Lepisosteus oculatus: one gene and its partner. Each later gene encodes a partner of the first gene's protein in a complex. Links are inferred from orthologs where the notes say so. Each region holds a gene or a part of one and is shown on either strand. Other genes may lie near its edges. The genes, in order: kita and suppressor of cytokine signaling 6.

Region 1 (9,683 bases):
ACAATTATTATAATAATAATAATAATAATAATAATAATAATTGCTTACACTTATATAGCACTTTTCTGGACACTCCACTCAAAGCGCTTTACAGGTAATGGGGACTCCCCTCCACCACCACTAATGTGCAGCCCCACCTGGATGATGCGACGGCAGCCATAGTGCGCCAGAACGCTCAGAAAAATTAATTTAGGTTCACAAAATTACCTATTAGAAACATAATTAGTAGAGTGGTCTGTGTGCAATAAAGGTGGTTTAGATGGTTTAAATATAAATACAACTACAGTATCTTTGTAAGGTCTCTCGGGAAGATAGTGGATTTCAAGCAACAATTTAACCATGAAGACCAATGGGGTTTCAAAACAAGTCAAGGATAAAGCTGCATAAAGGCGCAGACGAGGAGCAGAATATGAAAACAAAGACCGTTAATGTCTCTTTGAGCATGGTGAAGTCAATCAGTAAGGAGTCGAGGGCAGCCAGACACTCCATAGATCAGCCTGTCCCTCCAAACAGAGCAGCTAGGCAAGGAGGAAACTGGTGAGGGATGCCAAAGGGAGCTCAATGGTGACTTACAGAGTTACAGAGTTCACTCCACAATGAGGCTTGTATGGAACAAAAGAGAACATCTAAAATCTCCTCATGGGCTTTGCAACAAAAGCCTTAAGTGATATGCAATCATTTAGCGAAAGGCTTTGTGATCAGACAAGAAAAAACTGGACCCTTTTGATCTACATGCCAAGTGTTATATCTGACACAAATACAACATCGATTATCACTCAGTCAAACCCACCCCTGTCGCCAAGCATGGTGGCAGCACCATGTTATTCTTCTGCTTCTCATCAAAAGAAGAAAGCTGATGAGAACATAGACAGAGCAAAATACTGGCAAATCTTAGAGAAAAACCTACTCGGATCTAAAACGCAGACAAAAATTACTTTTCCGCAAGATATACTAGAGAACCAAAGCACAAGGCTAAAGCTGCAATTGTGTGGCTTTAAAATAAGAAAGTTAATGTCCTTGACTGCCCCATGAAAACATGTACAAATTATTTCAACATCTGTAAATACTATACACATATGGAAGCTACTGACTGAAGCTGTAAATGAAAGGTCATTGATTTCTTTGTTCTGCAAAATCCTGGATTCAAGTTAATTATGTACTGAATGTTATAAAGACAGACAACAGACAGCCTGACAGGATACTCAGCCTGCACGCAACTGTGAGGGATAAATAGTGGAATAATTTCAAGGCAAACAGATTTATGTTATTTTCACTTTCAAATAATAGATTAATTTCCAAATGTAGAGCAGCACTGTGCTACAGTGGTCAGCATCGCTGCCTCGCAGCACTGGGGTCCTGGGTTCAATTCAGGACCAGAGGTGCGATCTAGAGCGTGCATATCATTCTCCACTTGTTTGTGTGGATTTCCTCCCATAGTCCAAAGACATACTGGTGAGTTAACTGGCTTCTGGGAAGACTGGCCTTGGTGTGAGTGTGTCTGTGTGTGTGTGGCCTGCGATAGACTGGGTGTATCCAGGGTGTATCCTGCCTTGCACCCTTTGCTTGTTGAGATAGGCTCCATCTCCCCCACAACAACGTCCTGGATAAAGCAGTGTAGAAAACAGACTGATGGACAGATTCTAAATGCCTAATTTTAGCTCTAAGGTTTACCCTGCGTACCCTCTAAATCGGAGGGCTAATAAAAAGTCCACAATGAACAATCGTGACCATCGGACTTGCAAGGACAAGACAAAAGACTATATTCAAATCATGTATTGCATGACAATTACATTACAATTTTGTACATGTAAACATGTACAGAGTTGTAAATTCCGCAGACTAGGTTTGTTTTGCTTGCTCCTCCAGTCACACACCTTCCGCCTTTCCTCACCGAGTTTGCAACTGTTTAAAGATCCAAAGAGAAAAAGATTGTGCAGTCAAAAGCACATAAGAACACACTCTTTGTCATTTTTTGATACAAGGGCTGGATGGCTTAACTGCTTTAAAACTACTAATGCAAGATTATAGCCTCGCAAAAAGTCAGATTTGTAGCATTAGGCTGTGGGATAAGACGGTGTTTCTCCAATACAGACTAATTAGATACTTGTTTAAATGGGAAGCCTGTTATTACTGCAGAGAAAAACACTTTGGGGATTTAGCTTGTGAGCGAAAACAGAAGCATACATAAATTCACGCAGTCCTGTCCTCTTCCGTGAAGTCCTTGATGACCAGACTGATACAGCTTGGACACTGAGCTTTAACTGTCTCCACGAATGTAACAACAATCCCTGTCTTCAAGAGAAAAGAAATACGTCTGCTCCTTTACATCAGGCTATGGTATATTCATTTAGATTTGCTCAAATTACCGCTTCACTGTCCAGCCAAAGCGCTCTGACTACTCGTACTACTAGTATCACGTTTCCAAACCGTTTTCCTCAAAGGGGCTACGGTTGCAACTTTAATTTAGCAAAAGCTTTGTTGCTTTTATAATGAACGTACGTTACTATCATACGAGTTGCAAGCGCTGGAAGTTTGTCTTGTGTAAGGCGTGATCCATTCACTGCCGAAATGAAACACTACCTACATCCGTGTCCAGGCAGTTTTTAAAGCACCCTTAAAACAAATACGGCCGCTCCTTGATGCTCCACCTCCACGTTACCTGTCGTACCTAACAACAAAGTCAGTCTGCTCCGAAGCGCCTTTTAATAACATGGTATGTTGTGCAGCAAGCATGCAAATGTACTTTTGTATTGTAACGACAGAAAAGAAGGAATCGATTTCTTCATGTAAAAAGTGGTTAAATAGATCATTTACGAAGAGGAGAATGGAGAACACACAGCATTTTAGTGATATGTAATTTGTTGTACAATAAATGTTTTAAATTATTAACGAATTAAGCTGTTAGTCGAATTCAGCGCCAGCACCCCTGCCGATGCGCTTATCCTGCTACGTAAGCCAGTGGTGTCGTGGAGTACGACATTCATATTACAGGTGCTCTGTTGTAATGTATCTCTTTATAACTTTTTGTAAATATTAAATAAAAGAGCAAAAGTCTAAATACATGTAACATTTTTTCCACAACTAGCAAACAACTGTTACATTAATGAACTGTAGTTTTTTTTCACCGATATCATAAATAATTCACTATATTATATGCATGAAAGAATAATGTAACTTTAGGGGTTAAAACTAATATTTTATAGAGTCCTGTGCTGATAGATGTTATTAATCCAGTTCACATAAATTTAAAATGAGAAAGTGCTTTCCTATGTTAGGTGCAGAGAATCGAAACAATTTAAAGTTAAATTATACACTAACCATTTGAGATACACAAACAAGATTTTGACATCCCCAATTAAAGTAACTTCATCCTCTTAAAAAAAACTTTAGTTTAAGTTTAGTTTAATGTAATTAAACTTAGATTTCTTAAAGTGAAATCCTGCTCCGTTCAAGCATCACTGATAAATCATCAAATTCCTACAACACGCATTAGCGACTTCAGCCTGCTTTCACCGGTGAAGAACCCTACCTTTTTCAAACCATAACAGCATCAAGGTAAACAACGAAACCCAGGTATATCCCATTGTTAACATTCCATTTATCTGTTTGTCCACCTCTCTGCTATAGATCTGCTTTGTCGCCTGAGTTGCGCAGCACTTAACACTACAGCCTGCTTCGTTCCACCTATTCAAGTCTTAAAGGCGCAGAACACTTCCTACCAGCAGCCCTTCAGTCTGTCTCCAAGACACCACCGCAGGAAGGAAGAAAGAAGAAAGTTCCTTTAAACGTAATATGATTGGCTTAATTGGATAATTAAATTGTTTTACAAGACTAAGTTACAGTACTGCAAAAAAATTAAACGAACTTGTAAATATATCAATAAAACATTAACAAAATAAACCTCAGCTGCCAAAGTTTATTTTTAATGCTAAATTCGTGTATTTTAATACACTAGTTTCTTACTGTCACCTCGAAAGCAAACTAGTCAGTTTTTCTGTACCCTGAAACACTGGGCACAACGGAAGTGTCCCACAAGCAGGGATTTTGTTATTCTAGTTGACCTCGTATAAAATACATATTTTATGTGGACTTTGTTTAGTTACAGTGTATAAGTGACACCTCACATAATGATTGGGCTTTGAAGTCAACATTTGCAGATCTCAAGGATATGATATCTTTGCATTGAATCATTCATCTCTAATATCTGCAGTATAATTTTATAATCAGTATGACAATTTTCTGTGGTTTGTAATGCTTTGATCATCTTAAGTAGTGAAATTATTAAAGATGCTTATAGTGTCAGAAAATGAACTTTGTGACCAAATTCCTGTCTTTCAGTTCCTTTTTTTGTTTGTTTTTGACTGGTCTTTCACACCAGAGGTGGTGGCTGCCAAGGTGCTTGACTGGAACAAATATGAAACTGTCTGCAGAGCTCAGTGTCTACCTCGGGGTAAAATGCACTTTAAATATGACAATATTTTGTTAAAAAATAAGTTACCTTCATAGTAGTGGTTGCAAACAACTCCAAGAACTCGGTGCTTCTAAAGCCTCTTTTCACAGTATGTCAAATTCTCAGTGAACACAGTGTCTGCTGATTTGGAATTCACGTTCCTCTTATTTCTGTGCAGATGAATTTTTAATGATGTACAAAATTCTGCCAACAGCTGTAGCAGATATCCTTCTTTAGTACAACTGTATAAAAGGATTTGACATCAGGGCAGACATGATGACATTTGCCCACCAAGTGTCTCTCTGGGGGCTGAGACATAAGCAGGTTTTATGACTTTGAACAGTGATCCAGGAATCTGTGTCCAGGAGCTAATCTGTCTTCTTTTCAACATAAATATGTAAAATACAATTAGTTCCCAAGGGTATAAGCATATGTTGTCAGTTATTTTACACACTTATTAAGAAGATCAAGTGTGATCAATACATGTCGCACACAATTTAAAAAGATAAAAACTATGGTTTTTAACTCTACTATAATTGTACTGTATATATATATAATGTTCTATATAGTCAATTCATTGGCCGTGTATATTTGTTTTGTTTCAGTGGATTGTGGGATTTTGAACTGCTGGGTGGGGGACACTGAGGTCTATTGGTATGTCATTAACTCTGTGGATATTTGTGTTTCTGTGCTGAACAGCTGTGTTTTCATGTGTATGTAGTGGGTTAGGCTCCTTCAAGTTAGTATAGAAAACCAATGTTGTTAGTGAAAATGCAAAGGGTAAAACATCTTTTTTAAGAGAATCAGAATAATAATGAGGATAAAGGTCAGAGTTCTTCAACATTTATTATTTCTTCCTCATAAAATGTGCTTCCATTCACAAAAGCAACAACATTTTATGAAGTAGTTCAAGTAGGAGGCTGCATCAGCATGCGTAGCAACAACAAGGACACAGGCATGCCTACTGACGTTCATGTTTGCATCCATCCATGCAGTATCCCAGTATCTATAGTGTATACAGTAGCTGCCATTGCCAATGGCCAAAGCCAAACATAATATAAATGTCAGGCCTACATTTTAAAAGAAATCTGTTGTATCTTCCATCATAAATTTGCCATTTCACAGTGAGGAATTTTGGAAGTGTTGACCGGTTGTTCTGAGTGGTTTTGGGGATACCCAAGGGGAGACAGATATTCTTCACATACTCCCATGAGATACCATCCTTTTGCCCAAGTTCCTTGTAGTGTTTTGGTGACACATATCTGTCAAGGCTGCAGGGTTTACTTAATATTAGGGTGTATTGAAACAAGTAGTATTCCATGCTGAAAAAATAAGAGAGAAAACACAACATTTTGGCTGTAAAGCCTTCTTCAGGTGTGAGAAAGACAGGGCAGACAGCAAAGATTAAATAGCACGAAGAACAAAAACTGAGAGAGGGGAGGAGGCGGGAGGGATAGAGAGGCAGAAAGGCCACTCAGGAAGTGCAAAGTGTAGAAAGGTGAAGAAAGGTGTGAAGTCAAAACCTGCATGAGAATAGAGAAGATTACACAAAAATAAGTTGGTCATTGAGAGAAGGGGGAAGGTGTGAACCTAGTTTCAGGTTGAGTTTTGTTTCTGTTGTCTTTCTTCTATGAGAATTGAGAAACCCTTCTTTGAGAACAGAGACAGTGAGATCAGTGTGATCATGGCCGTCTGAAGTGAAATGAGAAACTATGGGCTTGGAGAAATCTTTAATCTTCACAGCCTGAACATGTTCGCTGAAGCGGTCTCCTACTTTCCGGTTTCTCCAACATAGATAGCTGGGCATTTTTTGCAGGACATACAGTAAGTGAGGTTGCTGGAGGAACAGGATGTTGTCTGGGTGATTCGGAATTGACCTGAGGGGCCCTGAATGAACGTGTGTATTTGCCGGTGATGTAGCAAGTTCTATTACTGGGGAAGGTGCCGAAGGTGCGCTCAAGGGAGCTGAGAACCAGATGTTTACGTAGATTGGGTGGTCGGCGGTGTCACGGTCATCATCCCTCCTCTGGAGGGCGCTCCGACCTTTTAGTATTAGTTCCATGATTGCGTGCTCCTGTCTCCTGTTTTATCCGTCACTATAAAAGTCATGTGCCTCCTAAATTCTAGGTTCAGTACTGGAAGAGGAATGTCTGAAGGCCCGACTATCCACCATGCTCAGGAGAAGCCCGAGGGCAAGGCCTTTTCCCCAGGCGTCCTGACCATCTGAGTCTGGGTCTCGGAGCGCCTTGCTTCGTTATGGTTTTATTTTCCATGTTCCTGGATTCCTTTTTTCCTGTCTTCATCTTGGATTGATCTCCCAGCTGCCTGGACTGTATTTCCCTTTTGGACTCCCAATGGACTTGTTCAGAACCACCCCCTGTCAGTCCTCCCATCCATTCTTCTCTGAGTCTTCCCCATTGCTCTTTTCCAGTCACTTCCAGATTATACCGTCTGCACAGGGTTCTAAATACGCACTACACGGGAGTCAAGACCGGCTCCCGTGACAGGCCGTATGAGATGATTGGGCGGTCAGAAAAAAGGGTATCGATGAAGGGATAACCCTGTAAAATGGAGTAGTTGTTAATAATGGTCCTGGGGATAGAAAGTGTGTTAGAGTGGTAAGGAAGCACCAGTGGAATGCGGTTGTGAGACCAGAAGTGGTGCATTGATTGCAACATGTGGAATCTCACAGTGGTGTGGGGGATTTCATCCTGAATTTGGCTGCGATGTGTTAATGTGTTCAGTCATGTTGTTTTATCATTATGGAGGCAGAGTCTAGAGGCATCTGTGAATGACATAGTCTACACAAGACCCAAATAATTTCGTAGCATTAAAAAACAGGATCTGATACACAAGACAAAACCAGCTAAAGTACACACTCAGAAGTCAAAGACTCATGATGTTTTTGTTAATAAGGCTGCAAAAACTTGCCACGCAGAAAAAAGCTTAAGAAATGAGAGGGAACATTTCTTTTCCATTTTTCTGCCAGTGGAGTGATGATCCAATAGGCTCCTCTTGCCTCTTCCCCCAGACTCGTCCACTGCTCACATGTCTCTGTGGGGGAACTTGCCTCCTGTACTTGTTAATAATCTCTTTGATGCCTGTCCTCCTGTCTTGAAGCACTTCAGGAAACTATACCAAGGAACTATTCCTGTTTTTAGTTGACATAGACATTGTTAGATAATGTATCTTTACATTATATGTATATATTTGTTCATTGTATCCATACACAATTTCTTTAATGAGCAACATACAACAAAAATACAAATAAAGATCAAAATTTTAGTTCATAACACCAAACAACAGAGTGAGACAAAAATCTCAGAGAACAGTAAGAAAATGTCTAACGTCTTTGATTGCAAAGAAATTCAGACAACTTCACAGTCAATCATTTTTAACGTTTTGCAGGCTTTGGATGATTTAAGGTCTCCAGTGATTTCAGGGCTGAAGGGGAGCAGCTGTAGCTTTCCTTGGTCTCCTCTTGGCACCTTCTGGTCTGCGGTCAAGTGCCCCTGCCCTCCTTCCACAGCCCTCCCGGGTGTTAATTGTCTCAGGAAAGCCCACAGTGCATTTGAGGGCACTTATTTTCTTACCACATGTTAAGTACAGGTTACATTTGAGAACCTTATGATTACTTGTTGCTTAACACTTCAGTAAACACAGTCTGACACAGTGATCATTAACCTGCTGAGTGAGTTAATATGCAATTTTATGCCTTGTTCTTTCTCTTCCATGTCCCCAGGTTCCCTGTTTGATATCTAATGTATAGAAGCTCCAAGAGCTGTTTCATCTGTCATCTGTGGTTTATGGGGATATGACTATTAATCAGCTACCACTGTTTCACAAATGGCAGCACCATTTAAAGAGATTTTTAATACTTCATAAGTAATGACTGCCAATTAATATGAATATATCCCACAATTCATAGCCTCTAAACACAATTACTCAAAATATTGAGATTTATTATATCACACTTGAATATAAAGTTTGTTTTAAATCCCAGCACATCATTTAAAACACATATTGTTTTAAGTGTGGGTTATACAACTGTAAAACACATTTTGTTTTAGATCTGTATTCTACTTTAGCGTAACTTTCATTTAAGGCTAAATGTTAAATAATGATATTAAATCATTTCAATTTTTCAGAAATTACCAGCTAAAAGAGAACGCCTAGGGCTTTTTTCAAAATAAAATTAACATTCAAACCACAGTGCCCACACAAAGATTCGATTGTGCTGTTTTACACCAGCTTTTCGTAGTCCAGCACATGGCTTGAGGGTACTACCAAACTGTATTTTTGTACTGGGTTGTTGTCTCTGTCTTTGCCTTTCACATGACAAGAGTCCAATATATTCCACAAATTTAAGCTTATAAAGAGTTTCTATTGTCTTAAACCTATCACGTGACTCCTGTAGTCTTTGGCTATTTTTGTAGGGCACAAGTTGTGGTGTAACTAAAACCTCACAACCACACCCGAAAGCAGACAGGCTGAGAAGAACCCCACAGCCTTCATTTCTGCACCAGCATCTGTCCAGAAAGATGGAGAGATATGAGGAAGATTACTATTCATTTTCTTCTATTCGTTTTGAGGAAAAAAAGAAACATGAAATTACATATGCTTTAAATGAAAAAGAAAAGGAAAAGTTGAAGGTCACTACATTTCACAAAATAGCATTTTTAATTCTTAGGAATAATGACAGTTTTAAATGAAAAGAGGTCATTTGGCCAAGCTAGTTTGGTTGCTAGTAGCTAATTAATCTGAGAACATCATCTATACATTTTCTAAAAGAAGCCAGGGTATCCAATTCAATAGAATATAATTTTGAATTGTTTGTCTTTTTCATGGATGGATGCTTCAGTGAGAAAACACCTTGATTTGCTAAATAGTAACCCTTTTGGTTATTTAAGAAAACACCAGTTTTATTCTAGAGTACCATGGTAAGAAATTGTAATTCCCACAATTATATTGGGGTTTTAAAAATCTTAGCAATTTTCTAAGCCATAGGTACTTCCCCTGTACTGAGTGACTGGTGATTGTTCTGCTAACAGTCTTTGGTACAAGTGAGTTTGCAAAGGATCCTTTCTTGTGTGAAGGATTCAAAACACTGCTGCACCTGTATTACAATGAGGTCACCACAGACCGTGTCACTCCTCCTAAAACATGTCAGTTTTCACTTCTTAAAATAAAGACTGTAATACGCTGCACACAAAATACTTAAGAGAAAAGAAAA
Region 2 (8,599 bases), on another chromosome or scaffold:
AACACATTTCGTAAGGCCCAGAAACTACATTCCTGTCTATACAAATGTCACTGTATACCACAGGACACTGTCTCTGTGTGTACTGCACCTACTGTTGATGACTTTTAAAAATGGGACTTTCTGTCATCAGTAGCCATATTAAATATTCCAAACACAGCACTGTAATGTAAGCCAGAAGAGATGTGAACACAACATCTCCACTGGACAGCTTAGTCTGAAACACGACCCTTGCAAAAGCTGGCTTATCACTCCTGGAGGGCTATGTTTGTTTTTGTCCACCGCTTAAGTGCTTTAGAGTAATGGGCTGGTAAAGTAATGGTCTTGTATCTGTTTCTCAGTGTGAGGATGAAGCACCTGGAAGACAGCTACATCATAAAGGCCTTCTGAAGGGAGAACCCTGGTGTCTACTTATACAATACACCTGCAATGAAGAAGTACCCAATACACCAATTATGTCAGCAACACACATCCCTTCCATTTAACAGGATAAAAATCAGCATCCAGTCAAAATATTTTTTCTGTCCATTTATGAAAACATACTCTACTTAAAATGCAACGCGTTTCAGCAAAAGAACACTGGCCACACACAAATAACCTTCCTTGGTGTACATATGGTTTGTCCCAGAGCTGTAAGTCTCTATGTTTCTCAACATACCAGAAAAGGAACTACATCACATGAGTAAAAGCCTGCAAAAAATGAGTCCTTCCCCTCAGCACAGTTGCAAAACACCTTAAATGTAAATATGAAGACTGACTGTGAGGTTGACAGATGCAGGCAGCTACAAATCATGAGCCATGAGGAGATGCATGTGCTAATAATTTAACACACTTAGGTTGAGAGGAAACCAAACTTACCCAACCCCTGCTCCACCCATTTGCCCAAGTAAAAAATTAATTAAATCTCCATGTTAATTCTGCCGCACGTCTAATGAACCACACCTCCGCAGAAACAATACTTATGTAGCCAGCATCTACAGCTGACGTATTTCAGATGTGACCAAAGTCTCACAGCCAGCACTGAAACCAATAACTGCTTCCCCTGAACTGTAAAATCATTTGGTGTAATAAACCCTCAGCAGCTTGGGTGTATACAGCAACAAAGTCTAACTCGAAGGAAATACACTGGATAGGAAAACCAAATCCAGGTCTGTCCCTAAAATGTTAAAAAAAATCCTGATAACAGAGCTACCACCATGAGAGTAATATGAAAAGTTTGCTGCTGTCCGAGAAAACTGTGGCGCTTGCAAAACTGAGCAGCTGACCAACACTTTTGAAATTTATTTCAGAAATCCGATCATTCACCTCAAACCTGAAGTGAAACTGGGAGCATTCAGGATCTCAGCAGTTCTATTTCTCCATATGCCACAACATGTTAATAAAAAATGGTGTTTTACTTCTGGTTTTAAAGTGTTTACAGATGTCCCGCAGAGTGTTTTGCACAACCATATATCCGACAGATTAATCTTAAAACAATCAATTTGCAATTTTTAGTCCAAACTTGCTGTTTTACAGAAAGAGAAGCAAACTCTACTGAAGGGCAAAACAGGAAAAGGGTAATACCGTTCATAGTACACAAAAACGTGGACAACAAAATATAGTAATCTAGGAATACGTCTCAGTGCGTCCCAACGCTAGGATACCTAGCATTCATTGTAACACGATCTTGATTATTTTTAACAAACCTTTATCTGAACTGCTTGCTTTTTGACTTTTCTGCCGGGGTTTTAGTTTTAGGGAAAGAAAGAAAAAGCAAGCAAGCATGGGGGCACTCCGGGATTGGGGATTGGGAAGCAGTGCTCGGACGCAGGGGATCTCAATCCCGATCCTGGAGGTCAGGACACCTGCCGGTTTTCATTCCAGCTGAGATCATTACCTAACTGAAGCTTTAAAAGAATTAACGATTTCACCGTTAGTAAGAAGGCAACCCCAAATGTGTAAGAACCGAAAGTGATCAAACAGTTTAAACCGATCTGTTATTAAAGCAATTTAGCATTCACTGTGTAACGGAGCATGGCTGGAACAAAAACCAGGTGTGTGGACCTCCACCATCAGGATTGGGAACACCTGCTCTAACGCGCACAGAAAACCAACCACAGGGCTCTTTCATTCTAAAAGCCACTGAGATGTTAAAACCAATAGTGTGTGGAAAACACAAATTCTTCACTTGAAGTAAAAGAGCCTTACTAAATCTGTGGGATATTCTTTAATCAGTATAAACAAATCAATTAAACACACACCTTAAGTTATCACTGTGCTGACCAACAAACTTCCAACTTGCAAAGTAATCAAAATTAGATAAAACCAAGGTTATGCTCCACACTCTTCTTACTCTGCATACTTAAGTCAGCATTTTTCCCTGCTTCAGCATGAACAGATTTAATAAACAAGAGTGAGTTGATTTACCCTGTTTTAACCACTTCTCATGTGATAATTCAAAGCGTGTGCAAGCCTGAATTTAAAAGTGCAGTGAATCATTTAATACAATTTTACTAGAGCGGGTTTTCACCGTTTATTAAAATTAGTTAAATAAATGTAATTCCTGGTATAAAAGAGATTAAGCTGCAAAATCCTGTCCCTTTTTTGGTTTGTTACTTGACACCAGGAAATAAATCACTTGCTTCGGACGCTGGCTAATTTAAAACATGACTCTGAACACAAGTGGCGTTTAGTATTTTAAGTGGAAATGAGCCTGATGTTACATGACGACAAGATAATAAAACACACCGATCTTTAAAAAAAAACATGCCAGTAATCAGCTACAGCAGTCTGGGATGGCGCATTATTATTAAATTTTACTTTTATGTGATCGAGAGATTACCGAATTATAAAAAAGTAACGATTATAAAAAAAAGAATAGGAGAAAAAAAGAGAGCTTCACAACTTTAAAAGTATGGCGACTTGGCAGAGCCGAATGCATAGAGTATACAGATCACTAGGCCCATACTTTATTAAAAGGGCTCAGTTTATTCTTAAACACCCGACTATTAAAAAAATATTTTATTAAAAATAAATGGTGTTTCTCTAACTTAATTTCCTATCGTTGTTTATCTACGCCTTTGGTAAAAGTTATCCATCACATGTCAAACACAGAGGTCTGTACAAAACAGCTTGGCAGCTCACAGCAGATTCCTGGTAACCGTGTAAGCGATCACATTTAAACGTACAAGCTTTGCAAGGAGTAATATTACCAGCCGGGAAGGAATAACCTGAACACTAACCCCCAAGTTCTCCGCAGGTCGGGCCCACGGACCGGTGGAGCCCGGGGCTCGATTTCGAGTCGAAGGCGAGCTGGAAGACAGGGGCTCGCAGAGGGATCCTCCGATCAGACCCGCCAGTGGCCTTGAAAACAAAATCAATACCCGCTGAAGTGGACGGACACACGTAAGGGATGCGATATGGTCTCGGTCTCTGTTTTTGTTTGGATTTTCGGAAGATGAAGCACCTTACACGGACAAACCCAAGTTTTGGCTCAACACCCACAGGCCGCAACAAAGGATCCCCTGCCAGCTGCCTTCACGTACCGTCTCCGAGCAAGTCAAGCATGAAACGCGAGTAGAAAACTAAACTTGTCTGCGATTAACGTCTGGCTTTCTAAAAAAAAAAAACCCCAAAACGGCACTTGCATTTCTTTGTTTATCCCGGGTTTCCACCGGGAGAATCACCCACGGCCACCACAAAACTCACTCAACTCACAGAAACGCAGCATTTCTTTCAATCTAGGATTTTTTTTTTACTCTTCTTTCTGATACTTACCCAGCTTTCCCCCTTCCGGATTCCCACTTTCCCCACAGGCCGCGTTCTGAATAAAACCTCCCGAAGGTTTAAATCACATTTAAATCACATTTCCTAGTCACCTTCATTCCCTCCCCTCCCCTCCGCACCTCAGTGCTGTTCTGAACACACGGAGTGGATCACAAACTAAACACACAAAACCGGCCGCCCGAGATTCCTGCTGCGCTTGGACGAGAACATTAAAATGATCTTTTTCTGTCCGAGTATGACTACAGTGGTCATTCCTAGCCCAGAGCCCTTTCTGCTTCAGTTCTCTAGGGCTTTGTCAATCATGTCTAAACTTTTTTTCCCCTTCTCTTTCCGTCGCTCGCTTCCTCTGCCTTTGTTGCCTGTTGCATTGTGGGAGAGGAGGGCCCTGGGCTGGAGCGAGTGTTTACTCAAGCAGAACCGTGGCGTGGAGAGCACGCAGGTGCAGTGAGCCGTGCGCGCAGCGTGGAAAGGCGCTTTGACAAAATAGACAAATAGAATACATATATATACGCACACAGGCATAAACTGCATCACATCTGGAAAAAGCAGGCAGTGTGAAGTGTTTCATTCTGCTTAATTGTATGTTACGATAATGTTACACTAAGACCTTAAATGTCTTTAAAAAATACCTCACTGTAGGCCTTGTTGGTGAGTACAAAACAGGGCAGCAGTACAAAACAAAAACCTGAAGTTTCACACCTTCTGTTCCATCCATTTTCTGACTTTTTTCAATTTAATACTGGGCCACAGCCTAACCCAGCAAGCAACGGGCGCAAGGCAGGGTACACCCTGGATAAGTCAGCAGTCCATTGTAGGGCACACACACAAGCCAATTAACTGACGAGTATGTATTGAGACGGAAACCCACAAGAACAGAGGGAGAACATACAAACTCCACACTGACAGCACCTCAGGTCCAGAACTGAACCCAGGGCTCGTGTGCTGCAATGCTGACTTCTGTTCTTCTGTTCCATGTTTGTAAATGCAATGATCTTTCCTGCCCAATTGATAGTTTGCTATAGGCAAAATATTCAAATGTAGACATAAATCTTCTTTTAACGGTTGATCTTAAATCTAAATAATAAAGTTTCACATCCCCTTCTAATAAAATGGATATTTCAAGATTACACATGGCACAATTTATTGAATTGTTTTAAAAAAGAGGTTTTTAATGGTAAATTTAGTTATTTAATGATAGAATAACAAATGTTATTACAATGAGTGTTATCTATACCCCCCACTCTATTATTTGTTTGAACTTTAAAATATATTGCTTTAAAAAGCTGAAACTAATGTATTATTCAACAGAATACATAAAAGTATGTTCCCATAATGCCACATATTGAATACCCACAAAGTATACTTAAATGGTGAATCATGTAATTACTGTACGTTTAAGGCACCAATTCTATTTCTTACATATCTAACCTGAAAAGTGATTCATGCAAGGAATACAGAAAAATCAAACTGAATTTGCTCGTTAAGAGAGACTAATGTAAAAAACAGAAAAACAGACAATAGAATTCTAGTTGCATCTGATTATCTTTCCATACATTGGAGAGGCTGTGATAATGGGGACTTTCCCAAAACAATTTTGGGTAGAATAAGTGGGATGTGTAAAAAGTAACTGAAGGTAATATAATTTCCCTGAGTGTTACTTCAGATTCATCTGTTAACATGAATAGACTAGCATATTCACATTCCAGACACAGAAGGTACATATGCAAAGTCTGGTCATAATTACCAAAGAAAAATAAGGAATATTCACCGTTCTGTAACACCCTCTCTTGTTTTTGTCTTTCTCATCACACTTTAATCACAGTGTGTTTACTAATTAGCCCAAAATAGTGAACAAGCCACTAATGTAATATTAGTAACTTGAATGAAGAATACCAACCATATAAATAACATATGCATTGTACTTTCAAACATCCATACTTGGAATGCTTACAAATGTGCTGCCTTGGCTTGGAGGAAATCACAAAGAAAGGATCTTCCTCTGTTAAGCAGCGAGACCAACCTGAAGCTCTGACTTGCACCCTGTGACACTGCTGGCAGCTGGCCAGACACAACATTGCAGTTGTGCAGCCTGGCTGCCTCCCTTGGGACTCTCAGGCCCATTCAAGTCAGCAGGACGGCAGCTGAAGTGTACCAGCTCCCGAGTTCGAACCCTCCTGGCACGGGCCTCTTCAGATGAGCCACCTAGAAATACACATTTTCTCAATGAGACAGATTAGGAACCTATCCAGAAGAAAGAAACTGTGTGACAGAAGTCCCTTTAAATATGAATAACAGTTGTGGGGGACTGGGCGTATGCACTATGAAGACATCCATCCATTCATTTTCTAACTACTTATTCTATCTCGGGAAGCAACGGGCACAGAGCAGGATACACCCTGGATGGGATGCCACACAGAGACAAATGTGCACACACTCACACCAGGGCCAGTTTTCCCAGAAACCAATTAACCTACCAGTATGTTTTTGGATTGCGGAGCACCCAGAGAAAACCCACAACAACAGGAGGAGACCATGCAAACTCCACGCAGATAGCACCACAGGTCTGGAGTTGAACCCAGGGCCCCAGCACTTCAAGGCAGCTATGCTAACAACTACACCCTTGTGCCACCCCTGTGAAAACATATATTTTCAATACTCATGTGTGGCAAAACAGATCTGAATTGGTTCCGATAATAACGGTCGGAAACAATACAGAAAACAAGGAATGGTTACCACAGTCACACCGAAAGTTAGCATTAAGTAGGTTAAGCATTAAGTGGTGCAATTACTCCATTACTCATTTTAAAAATGTTAAATTTATTTGACAATAAATGGTTTCTTTCCACAGTCCAAAGACATACTGGTAGGTTACTTGGCCTCTAGGTTATTTGGTCCATGGTGTGAGTGCGTGCATGCCTGTGTGTGCCCTGCAATGAACTAGCATCTCATCCAGGGTGTATGCTGCCTTGCGCCCATTGCTTGCTAGGTAAATCTCAAGCCTCCCCATCAATTGCTTTAGATAAAGAGGTTAGAAAATTGATGCACGTCTGCAATTGATTATCAGTGAACTCAAGGTGTCAAACTATCGGTTGATTCTTAAAGATAGAAATCTGAAATAGTGTGAACAGCCTGCTGATTTTAGGAAAGCTGTGCTGGAGATAAATCAGAGTAAACCCAATGTTCTTCTGTACAGTGTGGATTTAAGGAGGCTTCAGAGCTCCAGAGTGAACGTTAGGAAAAAAACTCCCAACATAAAATGAAGCAGATGAGAGCCAGTCTTCCAATTCCTAAAGATCTGGGGAAAGAAACATGACAGAGCCACAGCAATCAGCGTATTACTGAAGAAGTCAAAGGAGATGCAAGCACAGGGGTGATTATAGAGATTTTCCGCAAAAGGTGAAACTTAAAATCAGTTGATCTCTCGTGGAAAAAAAGGAAAAAGATAATGGCCAACTTCCCAGGTAATTTAATAACAAACTTTAGCAGAGATTATATTTCAATCCATTAAGAAAGCTAAACCTGTGAACAATGAAAGGTCTTTTTAAAATCACAAAATACAGTATAAAGCTGGTAAAACCAAAATAATACAGTTAAATATGTGGAGTTGGTGTGATACCAATGATTAAATGAGAATTAAACCTCTAATGTATTAAATCAGATTAAGGAATTTAAATGCTGGGATTTTAAAATAAGCAAGATTTAAGAGGTGGCACCAAAAAGAGTGAGGAGGAATTTAAATATGGAACTAAAGAACCCTGTTCATTGACAAGACATGTGGTGTACTGTTACAATGTCAAGCATGCTTTTGGCAAGGACAGAAATGATAGGAAATCAAACAGAATATAATAAGTGAGAAACAGAGACCAGTACTTTACTATCTATCCTATTTTTATACAAAGGAATGTAAGGCTAAAATGCTATCTTCAATGATAAACTATTGCTATTATATCATGTCATTAATAAGTACTGAGTGCAGAAATATTTAATAAAGTAGTAATAATAAATGCCAATCTTCACCAGTGCAAGTGCACACGATTATTAATTGTAAAGGATAAAGCTCTAGGTGTTAGAAAATGTTTAGAAGTCGTTTTTGAATCACGGTGCTTGTGAAAATTATGAAAATTATCAACATTTAAAGGAAACAATAATTTTATGAGGCACAAACTTCTAGACTACAGCCCTTTTATTTAATACCTTTTTAATATTTGTGTACTAAAACACTGTAAAACTGCATCAGATTTTCGCCTCTTAATCACTAATCTAATAATTAATCTAATCTACAGTCAATTAACCTGTTTGGGGTATGATACTTTAAGAAACGACATAGGTAATGTTAACGCTTGCATTCCCTTTAGGCTGTTCTGATTATTTTCTGAATATATGACACAACAAAACTCCATGACAGCTTGTGTGTCTTTGAGGTTGCACACACAAAGATTATATGTGAGAATGTAAAAAACACAAGGGTTTGCCAGTTTTAATCGCAATACACCACAATTTCATTGACAGAGGGAATGTTGCTGGCAGGAGCATCACAATTTAAATTTGCTTTACAGATTGAACAGAAGAGCAGCCTTGTGATCCTTCTGCGTCCTTGTTTTCAAGATAATATAGATTCATTAAGTAGGGGCGCATGACCTGAATGTATTATGTGACCCACATCACAAATGCCTTTCAAGACTAATTTTCTATCTTGTACAGACGATGAAATGATATGAAAGTCAAATAGAATAAATGGAAATTTATCCCCTCCAATTTTTAACTTAGATTTATCCAAGATTCTGTTTCAAAAGTATTTTGATTCTGTGCATATTCCAGTACATATTTGAGACTAACT

The links.
Region 2: the proteins of kita (region 1) and suppressor of cytokine signaling 6 are in contact, whole or in part, in a crystal structure (PDB 2VIF), measured with the Homo sapiens proteins. The link is inferred for Lepisosteus oculatus from reciprocal best matches to the Homo sapiens genes KIT and SOCS6. Residues at the interface, in NP_000213.1 of Homo sapiens: Asn566, Asn567, Tyr568, Val569, Tyr570, Ile571, Asp572, Pro573, Thr574; in NP_004223.2 of Homo sapiens: Arg391, Glu395, Arg409, Asp410, Ser411, Ser412, Asp413, Ser419, Phe422, Thr428, Leu429, His430, Thr431, Arg432, Phe442, Tyr443, Glu444, Gln445, Val448, His460, Asp464, Ala469, Phe470, Cys471, Tyr472, Ser473, Arg474, Ser475, Arg476, Thr482.

Annotation. Positions count from the first base shown.
Region 1 is NC_090696.1:78,569,376-78,579,058, reverse strand, and holds the start of kita (mast/stem cell growth factor receptor kita), read right to left. Parts: upstream 3,688-9,683; 5' UTR 3,594-3,687; coding exon 3,530-3,593; intron 1-3,529. UniProt on the Homo sapiens protein: Tyrosine-protein kinase that acts as a cell-surface receptor for the cytokine KITLG/SCF and plays an essential role in the regulation of cell survival and proliferation, hematopoiesis, stem cell maintenance, gametogenesis, mast cell development, migration and function, and in melanogenesis.
Region 2 is NC_090701.1:53,943,511-53,952,109, reverse strand, and holds the start of suppressor of cytokine signaling 6, read right to left. Parts: upstream 4,140-8,599; 5' UTR 3,754-4,139; intron 3,340-3,753; exon of another isoform or gene 3,219-3,339; intron 2,866-3,218; exon of another isoform or gene 1-2,865. UniProt on the Homo sapiens protein: SOCS family proteins form part of a classical negative feedback system that regulates cytokine signal transduction.